Linked DNA regions of Rattus norvegicus. The protein of the gene in region 2 interacts with the protein of the main gene of each other region in a biochemical or structural test. Links are inferred from orthologs where the notes say so. Each region holds a gene or a part of one and is shown on either strand. Other genes may lie near its edges.

Evidence for each region.
Region 1: of the proteins of Atxn3 (region 2) and Capn2, one has a biochemical effect on the other in vitro, tested with the Homo sapiens proteins (2 studies listed by BioGRID). The link is inferred for Rattus norvegicus from reciprocal best matches to the Homo sapiens genes ATXN3 and CAPN2.
Region 3: the proteins of Atxn3 (region 2) and Rad23a form a complex in vitro, tested with the Homo sapiens proteins (2 studies listed by BioGRID). The link is inferred for Rattus norvegicus from reciprocal best matches to the Homo sapiens genes ATXN3 and RAD23A.

The regions. Positions count from the first base shown.
Region 1 is NC_086031.1:96,705,092-96,708,736, reverse strand, and holds part of Capn2 (calpain-2 catalytic subunit), read left to right. Parts: intron 1-647; coding exon 648-766; exon of another isoform or gene 767-906; intron 907-1,305; coding exon 1,306-1,439; intron 1,440-1,801; exon of another isoform or gene 1,802-1,942; intron 1,943-2,415; coding exon 2,416-2,584; intron 2,585-3,494; coding exon 3,495-3,578; intron 3,579-3,645. UniProt on the Homo sapiens protein: Calcium-regulated non-lysosomal thiol-protease which catalyzes limited proteolysis of substrates involved in cytoskeletal remodeling and signal transduction. Proteolytically cleaves MYOC at 'Arg-226'.
Region 2 is NC_086024.1:126,869,975-126,874,127, reverse strand, and holds the start of Atxn3 (ataxin-3), read left to right. Parts: upstream 1-1,346; 5' UTR 1,347-1,451; coding exon 1,452-1,475; exon of another isoform or gene 1,476-1,591; intron 1,592-1,625; exon of another isoform or gene 1,626-2,097; intron 2,098-2,124; exon of another isoform or gene 2,125-2,928; intron 2,929-4,153. UniProt on the Homo sapiens protein: Deubiquitinating enzyme involved in protein homeostasis maintenance, transcription, cytoskeleton regulation, myogenesis and degradation of misfolded chaperone substrates.
Region 3 is NC_086037.1:40,222,525-40,226,077, forward strand, and holds the end of Rad23a (UV excision repair protein RAD23 homolog A), read left to right. Parts: intron 1-24; coding exon 25-103; intron 104-194; coding exon 195-328; intron 329-1,983; coding exon 1,984-2,148; intron 2,149-2,227; coding exon 2,228-2,341; 3' UTR 2,342-2,636; coding exon of another isoform or gene 2,637-2,717; 3' UTR 2,718-3,019; downstream 3,020-3,553. Other genes in the region: Gadd45gip1 (large ribosomal subunit protein mL64), read right to left, coding at 3,504-3,553. UniProt on the Homo sapiens protein: Multiubiquitin chain receptor involved in modulation of proteasomal degradation. Binds to 'Lys-48'-linked polyubiquitin chains in a length-dependent manner and with a lower affinity to 'Lys-63'-linked polyubiquitin chains.

The DNA of each region.
Region 1 (3,645 bases), on a different chromosome or scaffold from region 2:
TGCATACTGTCTGAGTTCATGCATTGTTGCACACTCCCGTGATCACACTGTCCCTGTCCCTGCCCAGGCATCTCTCTCCTTGTCTCTGAATTCTTGTAGGAGATGGGCAGTGTTCAGCCCCTCCTCGTCGACTGCTGCATTTTCTCCCTCTCATTCAAACTCCTCTCGGAAACCTCTTTTTTTTTTTTTTTTTTTTTTTGGTTCTTTTTTTTTCCGGAGCTGGGGACCGAACCCAGGGCCTTGCGCTTCCTAGGTAAGCGCTCTACCACTGAGCTAAATCCCCAGCCCCTCGGAAACCTCTTTTCACTGAGGCCTCTTGTTGCCCTGTTAAGTTCGGTTCGCCCATAGATGGGCATAGTTCCTGTGTGTGAGCACAGGGCCAGGCTCTAACGACACAGTTCAGCCATCGCAGAGTTCTGAGTTTCTCAGACAATGAACCTCTCTTGTATCTAGCCATCCACACATGGCGTTTCTCCATCAAAATATCCACCAGACCAGGTGACCTATCCCGTAGTTGAAGACTGTCTGAAACACTGCTCCGTCTACTCCAGGGTAAGGTTGGGTTTTAAGCACCCAGCTGCAGGAACAAGACTTCACAGCCTCCGGGAGCTAAGACCTGACCAGAGCTCATGGCTTTGCATTCTCAGGGGACTGCTGGCTTCTGGCTGCCATCGCCTCCCTCACCTTGAATGAAGAAATCCTGGCTCGAGTTGTGCCTCTAGACCAGAGCTTCCAGGAAAACTATGCAGGCATCTTCCATTTCCAGGTAACTTAATGGTTGGCCAAGGCACCTCCCCGTCCTGGCTCAGGGACTCAACAGATTCCTCCAGCTTGACTTTGCTCCTCAGCTTCCTGGTCCCTGGTGGTTTGAGAACTCTGGGGGTCAGTTCTGTTCTGCAAAGAATGCTGGAAGAGAGAAATTTTCCCAACCTGTCCACCATGTGGAGTCCCATCATCAGAATGGCTGGGAGTTGGGGGTGGGGAGAGTCCATGGAGGTAGATCATGGTGTACAGGAAGTAATGTGTTCAGGAAGTAATCCCTAAGTTTTTAAGTTTATTATTTGAGGTTTGAGATAAAAGGTTAAAAGGCTTCCTTTCCCTGATAGCAAATGAGAGATGGCATTTTTAAAGTGTGTGTGGCTTTGGAGACCTACATTGAGCTCCACTGGCCTCTTGCTTGGTGAGGGGCACGCTTAACATAAGACACTGAAGAGAATCATGGGAACTTACAACAAGGGGCTGGGCCAGATGAAGCCAAGGCTCGGAGTCCCAGCGCCACCCTCTCTTGTCCCCCATGCCCTGCAGTTCTGGCAATATGGCGAATGGGTGGAGGTGGTGGTGGACGACAGACTGCCCACTAAGGACGGGGAGCTGCTCTTTGTTCATTCAGCTGAGGGGAGCGAGTTCTGGAGTGCCCTTCTGGAGAAGGCCTATGCCAAGTAAGTAACCACGCCCTTCCCCAACACCCCATCTTGCCCCTGCTGCCCTGGACTCTAAAACAGGAGCTATTTTGGGGACTGTTTTGAGTAGACATTCTGTTCTATAAAAGGATGACTTTGGCCCAAATTGGGCTCTCAGTTCAAGGAGGCAATGTGGGCATGGGAGTTGTTCACATGATACACTGGTACAGGACGGTCATTGTTTTTGAGCAAGGGAACTGGAACATGCTGAGGCTAATTGCTCTGGCCTTAAGAACTCTGCTTCTTTGGTGGGCCCCGTTGCCTCTTAACCAAAAAGACCAAAACCTTCTTCCAATGGCAAATCTGCCCATTGCAAAGGTAGGAAAATAGTGGAAACTCACCCAGAATAAATCATGCGGCTGGTAAGAATGGTTTCCCAGTTCTAATCCTAGCTGGGCCTCACTCAGATGGCCCGAAGTTGTGCCAGGTCCACCCAGGATGTCAGCCCTCTGAAGTGGAGGTCTCAGGTGCTGGTGCTCTCGCTGCATTAAGATCGGAGTGAGTGGGTTTAGGATCCCTACAGCCCCAGGCTAGAAATGGGGCGTAGGGACTCCCTGTCCTTAGCCAAGAGAATTTGGAGCATAGAGCTCAGGGCATGACCACAGGAACCTGCTGTGTGCTTCTCAGGAAGCTGGATTCATTACTTTAGTGTCAACCTCTGTGTCAAGGCTAGAGTCAACACCAGAGGCTGGATCAGAACTAAGTCTTTCCAGCTCCAGGGTTCGGTACAAATTCTAAAACATGTCATAGCCGCAGAGGAAAAGTAACTACAGAGATAGTGCCTTGCCTTCCTGGGTACCCCAAGTTGGAGACAAAGACAAAGAGAATGAAAGCAGGGGACCCCATGAGCTCCCATGGGGGGGATCTGAGTTGGAGTGGGGTGGCATTTTCAGGGATGAAGGTGCACCCCGCAGCATCCAGGGCACTGAGTGGCAGTGTGAATTCCCTCCTTCAGGATCAATGGGTGCTATGAAGCACTCTCAGGGGGTGCCACCACTGAGGGCTTTGAAGACTTCACAGGAGGCATTGCCGAGTGGTATGAGCTGAGGAAGCCTCCTCCCAATTTGTTCAAGATCATCCAGAAGGCTTTGGAGAAAGGTTCTCTGCTTGGCTGCTCTATCGATGTAAGTCTCCATGGTCCTCTCCAAGCACTTCAGTCTGCTGTCGCTCCGAGGAGGGGTGGGGTGAGGGTGGGGTTGGGGATGAGGGGCTCTTTAAAACAAAGGTGCATTCCACTGCTCAGCTCCCGAAGCCCAGGATCACTAGGCAATAGCTCTCTAGGGGGCGCATTTGAGATAGGAACAGTGATTCCTGCCCTTCCTCCCCAGCCCACTTTGGATTCTAACTGTGCTGAATCACTCTACTCAAAGAGCGCAAGTTACACAAAGTCCCCCATCTCCCTTCTGCTGGTTTTAGCACCTTGTCCCCCACCTGCAGGGCTGTTTGAGCAGCCCCGCAGCCTCTCCTCACTCTGTCCCAGTGCTCATGGGTCCTGGCTAAGACTGCAGGGAGTACCGCAAGGAACTGTTTCTTCAAAATAGCTTTGCAGGCAAACCTCACCAGGGAAATGGAAAGTGAGCCTGACCCAAGTCCTGGCGAGGAGCTTCCCCAAGCTGGGCCCAAAGAATGGGAAGGGAGGGTTTTTAAGGAGTTGGCAACCCAATACACGGATTCTGAAGCGAGGGTAGAAATAAAAAACTGCCATCGTTGTGCAACTGAGCTGGGCGGGGTAGGGGTGCGGAATTAGAGCATCTTGGCTACAGTTCCCCCATGGGGTGTCTGTCTCTAGGCCTCCCACAGACCCTTGTCTCGAAGGTGAATCCCTGCACACCCTCCCCATCCAGAAGATGATTCCTGGGGCTTTGGGATATGCGCCAACTTGCGCCTTGGTGATCAGCAACTGAAAGCTGCTCCTCCAGGTGGCAGGATGGATGCTCAGAGTCCCCCAGGCTGGGCCCGGGTGCTTTGTGCGTCCTTCTGGGCCATTTGTATCCGGGCTAGAGCAGCCGCCGCCTATTGTCCTTGCGTTTACAGATCACCAGCGCTGCGGATTCTGAGGCCGTTACGTACCAGAAGTTGGTGAAAGGACATGCGTACTCCGTCACTGGAGCCGAGGAGGTACGGGCCCCTGCTAGTTGGTGGCTGTCCGGGGTGGGGCCTCCAGGGTGGCAGCTGCCTGGCGCGC
Region 2 (4,153 bases):
TCTACAAGAGAAGTGGCAAATGCTCTTAACCTCATAGCCAGTTACCTTCTAAATTGCAATGAATCTCACCTCACAGCTCAAAACAGCTTCTGTAAACTCCAGGCCAGACATCTATTACTCACAAAAGTACCTTATGTTGCACAGACATTTAAACTCATTATTCCCCAAATTAAACCCTTGTCTTCCCTTCCCAAGACCCTGCTCATTCTGCACAGTATTTCTGGTTGGAGTATTACTCCTTCTTTAGGTGGTACCTACAGCAGACACCCACAAATCTTTCCTAACAATAACCCCTTTCACCCCAGTTCCTCACCAAAGTCTTCTGAGTCTGCTTCCTGAAACTTCAAATTGGTCTCTCTCCATTCTCAAATCACTACTGGAGTTCTGACCACCATTGTCTCCTCATTTCTCCCAAAATGCCTTTCAAGTATTCTGTTCCCCAGTGATCTTCTAAAATTCTAATTTGACCCCATGTCTCTAGTTTTGAAAATCTGTAACCTCCTGTAGGTTTTTTGTTTGTTTTGTTTTGTTTTTGGTTGGGAGGTGGCGGGCAGGATCGTCCTAGAAACCCTGGTTACAGGCTGCCACAGTCCAACACAACATACTCCTCCTACCTTCAGGTGCAAGGATTAGGAGAATGAGTCTTTGTACCCAGTTTCTTTGCTGACTTTGAAGAACCTAAAATGGTTCCACCACACAAGATCCGCGCCCAAATAACACTTAATCTTTGTCAATCCCTCCCCCACCCCCGGCGCGAGCCACTCAACATTTTACTGGACTTTTCACTTCCCCATCGACGCTTCCTCCTTCAGATATTGTACATTTATCCTGGGACCTGATACTCATTCCGACAGGCAACTGTGTTGGACACTGTGCTATTCTAATTTCTTAGTGCCTACATTTCTTCATTTGTATAATAATATTACAACATACACACACATCAAAAATGCCGCATTAAATCGCACTTAGAAGTGGACTATTATAAGTCAGCCCTAACTAAATACTAGCTATAGTTTTCACACAAATACTAGGTATTGGGAGAATGCCTTTTTTGGAATGAGGTTTTCAGTGGGAGAGGAGGTATTACACGTAGTTGAGCAGAAAGTACCAAAAAAGGTGGAAATGGAGAAAAAAAAAAGAACCTAAAACCTGGCTGCGAGGATTCTCATCTAGAACCCTAGAATCACAACATTGTCTAGCGTAGAGAAGTTCCTCCGCACAGCAGGCGGCGCCGCAGCATCACACACGCGGCGGGAGGACCAGCGCCGCCCAGGTCACGTGTCCCGTGCTCCCCGGCTCGCGTGCCGCGTGACGTGCGCCCGCAGTAGTGATTGGGTGGCGGGAGGCACGTGGGTAGGGCGGGGCGGGCCGGGGCGGAGGGGTGGGGCCGGGGGCGGAGCTGCTGGAGGGGGCTGCTCCGCGCCGGGGCCGTTGGCTCCAGACAAATAAACATGGAGTCCATCTTCCACGAGAAAGTGAGTGTGGGCGTTCGGTGGGGAGCCGTCCGCGGCTCGGCGGCGGGCGTGGGGAGCAGCGTCGCCGCTTCAGGAACTCAGGCGGGGCCCGAGCGCCCCCATCCCGACTTGGCTGGGTGAGGGGTGCTTCCTGCCTTCCCCCCATGGCACCGTTCATGAAGCCTCCCGCATGCGTCTCCGGCACCCTCACCCTAAAAGACCGGGCGGGTAACCTGGGCATTTCGGGGGGCTTCATCCGGAGGATTAGCGCGGGCGTTTCTTGTTCACTTGCCACGCCTTTTCGGGTTTCTTCTATCTTCTCTCCTGTGGTCTAGTCTAGCGAGACGCCTTTCCACACCTGACGGACCCTTCCCAACTCCACCCACTCCCCCTGACCTATCCTCTGGCAGAACCAACTTTCTCTCTCAACTCAGTTCTATGATGGAATGTCCCATGCATTTAGATCTTGGTGATCTATCCCACGTCCTTCTGCAGTTGTGACCGTGGCTCTCCCATTGAAGGGCCTGACACTTGGGAAGTAAAGTAGGAAATCCCGGAGGGAAGTCGTCATAAGAGTTTTTATTACGGGATGTTTGGGCTGCTCTCCCATTTTTCCGGACCAGGAGGCCAGCTTTGTTTTTAGGTATTATGGATAGATTAGAATCTTTCTACTGTGTGATTTGGCTAGTCTCTTCCTCACCTTAATTCCTAAGTGACTACGCTTTACAGTATTGTGACATCTCGAGAAACTGGTCTATGCTCGCATACAATTATCAAGTCATTTGGGTGTTCCTCGGACAACTTTGGCATGATTCCGTGTTTCATAATCATTTTAGGTTTGGAGAGGGTTGCTAGTTGAGACTATTATTACAGTTGGAGCAAAGGCCTTTGTTTTTATCATTTGTAAAGGAGCATTCATTCACAACGTTTAAAGTCCATGCACGACAAAAGAAAGACAAAAATGCTGTAAATCTAAGGAAGTTGTTAAATGAAAGTGTTCTTAAGAAGACCTTTCATAGTGTTTTTGGAACTGGAACAAGTTAGTTTGTGACAAGATTTCTTGTAGCCCAAGCTGGCCCCAAACTCTCCATCCTACTGTCTCTGCCTCCTGAGTGCTGGCTGGGATTATGACCATGTGCCCTGACTCTGAGTGCGCCACCCCCTCCCCCACTCTTTTGTAATTTTCCAAAGGCTTTGGGATAAAGTCCATTTTAAACATGTTATACTCTTTGGGATAAAATCCATTTTAAACATGTTATACTTTATACACTGTTTTGTGAGACTCCTGCCATGTATTCTTAAAAGAAAAATGCATGTGCTTGTGTGGAGGTCAAGGATGACTTGATAAAGTCTGTCCTCTCTTTCCAACTTGGTGTGGATTCCAGGTGTCTGAGGCTTTGGCAGCAAGCTCCTTTACTCTCTGGGTCATCTTTAGGGTGAATGAAGGAAGAAATGGAAAGGACATGACTTCTAGGTATGGTGAAGGAGAAAGTTTATTAAAGAGATGTGGGAGAGCATAGCCTGGGGCAGACACATTTGGGAGACCCCAGAGTTGTCATGACCCTGAACCACATGGGGAGAGGGAAAGGAAATACAGCAGCCAGGAGCCAAAGGTGCAGAAGTATACCAAAGAGGTTGGGTTACCAAAATACATGAATTACATAGGCAAGGACCACTAGGGGAAGGGCAGCTAGGCCATGGTCTGGAGAGTTCAGGGTAGAGAGTAGGTATACCAGCTATACCCTGGTATAAGTAGGGACTAAGGGATGCTGGGAGAACCTGGAGTTCAGGTCCGCTTTGATATGTTAAATAGGTACCTCTGCCACCTACCATCCTGGGATTGAAGCTCAGCATAGGGCTCTTAAACAATACACTAAAAAATATGTATTTTTTTGCTGGCAGGGGTGGTAGGCCTTTAACCTCACACTTGGAAGGTAGAGGCAGGGGAATCTCTAGTGAGTTCAAGGCCAGCCTAGTCTACAGAGAGAGTTTTAGAACAGCCAGCTCTATACAGAGAAACTGTCATGGAAAACAAACAAAAAAATTGTATTGGTGTTTACTGTTGTGTATGTCTGTGCACTGTGTGTCTGTTGCCCACTAAAGCCAGAAGATTCCCTGGAACTGGAGTAACAGGCTTGTGAGTAGCTGTGTGGGTGTTAGGAGTTGAACCGAGGTCATCTGGAAAGCCAGCCTGTACTCTTAACTGCTGAGCCACCTCTCCATCTCCCTCAATACCTTCTTTTTTTTTTTTTTTCTTTTTCTTTTTCTTTTTTCTTTTTTTTTTTGGAGCTGGGGACCGAACCAGGGCCATGCACTTGCTAGGCAAGCACTCTACCACTGAGCTAAATCCCCAACCCCCCTCAATACCTTCTTGACAATATTGATTGTTCCTCATTTGAGCAGATTTCAGTGAAGGTAACTACTGAATCAGTATATCCAAAATGCTAGGCTAACAAAGACTTACTCAGGCCAAGGATATGCCTCACCTGAATAGTGCTTGCTGTGTAAGCATGAAAACCAGAGTTCAGATCCCAGTGTGTGTTTGTATCCCCAGTACTTGAGGCAGGGAACCGAGCCAGGTGGGTTTCTGGTTGCTGACCAGCCAGTCTAGCTGAAATCAGTGAGTTCTAGGCTCAGTGAAAGACTATCTCACAAAATAAGGTGGAGCGCAACTGAGGAAGGCATTTGACTTGGACCTT
Region 3 (3,553 bases), on a different chromosome or scaffold from region 2:
ACTAAAAAGCAGGATCCCTGACAGGGAATTCCAGGAAGCCCTGAGCCTGAACATGGTTCTGTCCAGGAAAGCCAGGCGCCCGAACAACCGGCCACAGAAGCAGGTGAGCTGGTTGGATGGTGTACTCGTGGGCATCTCCAGTCTGGATTCAGGAGCCCCCGCAGGGGTCTGACCACACTTCTTCCTGCCACTAGCAGGGGAGAACCCCCTAGAGTTCCTGCGGGACCAGCCTCAGTTCCAGAACATGCGGCAAGTGATTCAGCAGAACCCGGCGCTGCTGCCTGCTCTGCTCCAGCAGCTGGGCCAGGAGAACCCTCAGCTCTTGCAGGTGCGGCCCAGGGTGAGGGAACTGAGACAGATGCCTTTCCAGTTCCTCAGGGGAGCGAGTGCCCAGGGACATAGCTTTGCTCTGAGAAAGCAGAACTAGCATAGGCTTTGCTCCTTTTGCTCCCTGATGCCTTCTAAGGTTACGTGTAACTCCCCATGAGGTGTGGATGCTGTAGGCACCCACCTACTGAAGACATCGGAGGCTCAGAGCAGGCTGCCATGTCTGGGCCCTGGACTCTGGCCACAGCATTTTTCTGAGTTCCTGGTCAACCTGAAGCTCTTCTTCTGTTCTCCAGTCCTGGCCTTCTTCCTGATATGACCTTCACCTTGACCCTCTGTGGTGACCTAAACCTGTATATCACACCAGATCCCTTGGGACCCTGGACCTCTTGAGTTTTCAGGCCATTCTGCTCTGATTGCTCGAGCCTCTCACAGCCTCCTGAGGACTATCTCTGCTTCTATCCCAGTGTCAGCCATTTCTCCCACCTGGTGTCCCAGCGTCCTCTTCTCAGGCCTCTTAAGTCTACACAGTGCCTCAATGAACTGTCCACCTAGAGGCTAGATTGCTGAAAAGGCCCTTTTTAATGTGAAAATTGTCAGATGTTTGAAGAAGCAAAGGGCTACATCAGAACCTCCTGATTTCCAAGTAGAGTGTATTTAACCAGAGTGGCTGGTTGTAGTAGTGTACACCATTAGGCCTGCACTTAGGAAGCTGAGGCAGGAGGATCATTGAACTTGAAGCCAGCTCCTTCTAGTAATGAGATCATCTCAAAAAAGAGAAAATAGAATAGGTTGTGTAAATTGAGTGCCTCACTAGCTGACTGCTGCTTTTAGCAGCTAAGGCCAGGTTTCCTTGCAACATGGCAAAACAAAGTGGTCAAGTAACTCCGCTGTTGGCCGCTGTGGCTTCCCACTGCTAGGGGAGAAAGTTCAGCTTTTCTGTGCTGTCTTGCCACAGAGTTCCTCTGAGACTTGCCCAGTAGATCCACCCCAGGGCATTTTATGGGTTGTTCTACCACGGACAGTAGGCCCCTCTTACAAGGCCACAGGGACATAGCTAGCACATTTGCAGTCACTTGGTTTGAACTTTTTTTTTTTTTTGGTTCTTTCTTTCGGAGCTGGGGACCGAACCCAGGGCCTTGCGCTTCTTAGGCAAGCGCTCTACCACTGAGCTAAATCCCCAACCCCTTGGTTTGAACTTTTTGTTTTGTTATTTTTTTCCCTTTAGTCTTACTGTGTAGGTTAGGCTGGCTTAAAGCTCATGTTGATTCTCCTGCTTCAGCCTCCCAAGTGCTGGGATTATAGTTAGGAACCCCCATGCCTAGTTCTGGCACATTGGTTTTGTTTGTTGAGATGTTGTCTCACTATGTAGCCCTGACTGCCTTGAACTCTTCTGTAGATCAAGCTGGCCTTAAACTCAGATCCACCTGCCTCTGCCTCCCCAATGCCGGTATTAAAGACACTGCCACTGTGTGTCTCCCCACCTTGCCACCTCAGCCCTACCTGAACAGCTTATTCCCATGGCTGCATGGCTATTCAGCCAGAGCATGCAGCGTCAGAGTACCTGACACTTTGGTATAATAAGCAAGGGGTGTAAAATGGAACCTGGGCGTAGGTGACAAGGACTGTGAATTGTCACCCTTCTTCTTCTCACAGCAAATTAGCCGTCACCAGGAGCAGTTCATCCAGATGTTGAATGAGCCCCCCGGGGAGCTGGCGGACATCTCTGATGTAGAGGGGGAGGTTGGTGCCCTAGGTGAGGAGGCCCCACAGATGAACTATATCCAGGTGACACCGCAGGAGAAGGAAGCTATAGAAAGGGTAAGAGGCCTGGCTAACGAGCCACTCATGGTGGGCAGCCCAGTACCTCCCCCTTCTTACCCTTGCCATCTCCCCACAGCTGAAGGCACTGGGCTTCCCGGAGAGCCTGGTGATCCAGGCCTACTTCGCGTGTGAGAAAAATGAGAACTTGGCTGCCAACTTCCTCCTGAGTCAGAACTTTGATGATGAGTGATGCTGGGAGGCTAGAAGGCCCCCACCCCACTCCACAAAAGTTTATAAGAGAAAAGTATATATATATATATATATATATATATATATATATATATATATATATATATATATATATATATATATATCTCACATATATATATATTCATGTTTATTTAAGAGGAAGAAAAATCAAAAACCATTAAAAAAAACAAAAAAAACAACCCACCCAGCCCAGCTTCCTACCCTCCTGAAGTGGCCCCTATTCCCATCTGTCTGAGAAGACCTGGGCCACACAGCTGTCCCTATCCTCTCAACAGAGCCCAGCCTGCCCAAAGTTGTTGGCAAGACCAGGAAGCGACAGATGGGCCCCTCTTGGCCTCTGTCCCAGCTCCCTGTAGCCAGATGGAGAGGCGCCTGCCTGTTTCCCCAGCCCCTGAAGCATCCCCAAGGACAACCCTCCTTCCTCTACCATGAGGGGAAGCTGGAGCCCTAAACCTTTATCTCCATTGGAGTGGCCCCGATCTTCCCATCTGGAGTAAGGCTGTTAGAAGCCCAAGGCCTTCTCCCCAGTCTCGCCTTGGCCTCCAGCCTGGAAAAGGGGTAACATCAGTTCTGAAGGCCAAGGCCACCCCTTCCCCAGGACAGAAACACCTCTGATAAAGGTTTTGAAGTGAATAAAGTTTTAAAAAATGAGCCCTAATAATGGTTCATGCCTACTGGAGCTTCTCACACCTGTTTGTGAGTCTGAGCTGGCCGGGGCACAGGTGAAGTGGGCATTCGGAGAAGTGGGGAAGGAGCCTATGAGGGGGGTCTCAGAATCTCTGCCCTCTGGAAAGTTGGGCCCCTGCCCCAGCTCAGCCCTAGAATGGCTGCTGCTCCTTCTATCTGTAGTCTGTTTGGCTGTACTCCCCCTGGTAATTGGCTAATTACTGGAGATTAATGTTGGTAAACAGAAGCCTCCTCTACTGCCATCTGCTCCGTCATTATTTGCCCATCCAGTCTCCTCTCTCCCCAAGCCTCAGTGCATGACATGGCCTAGTGTCCAGGTGTGAACACAGCCTAGCAGAGGGATTCTCCTACTCCAGGTGTTGGGGAATGAGCCAGGGGACCCAGGAAGTCACAACCTGTGGGAGAATGTGTAGAATGTGGGCTGTCAGCAGCTGGCTTTATTGGAAAAGGAGCTCTCAGGAGCTGGGTTTACCAGACGCTGCTGAGTCCTGGGCTTCAGCAGAAT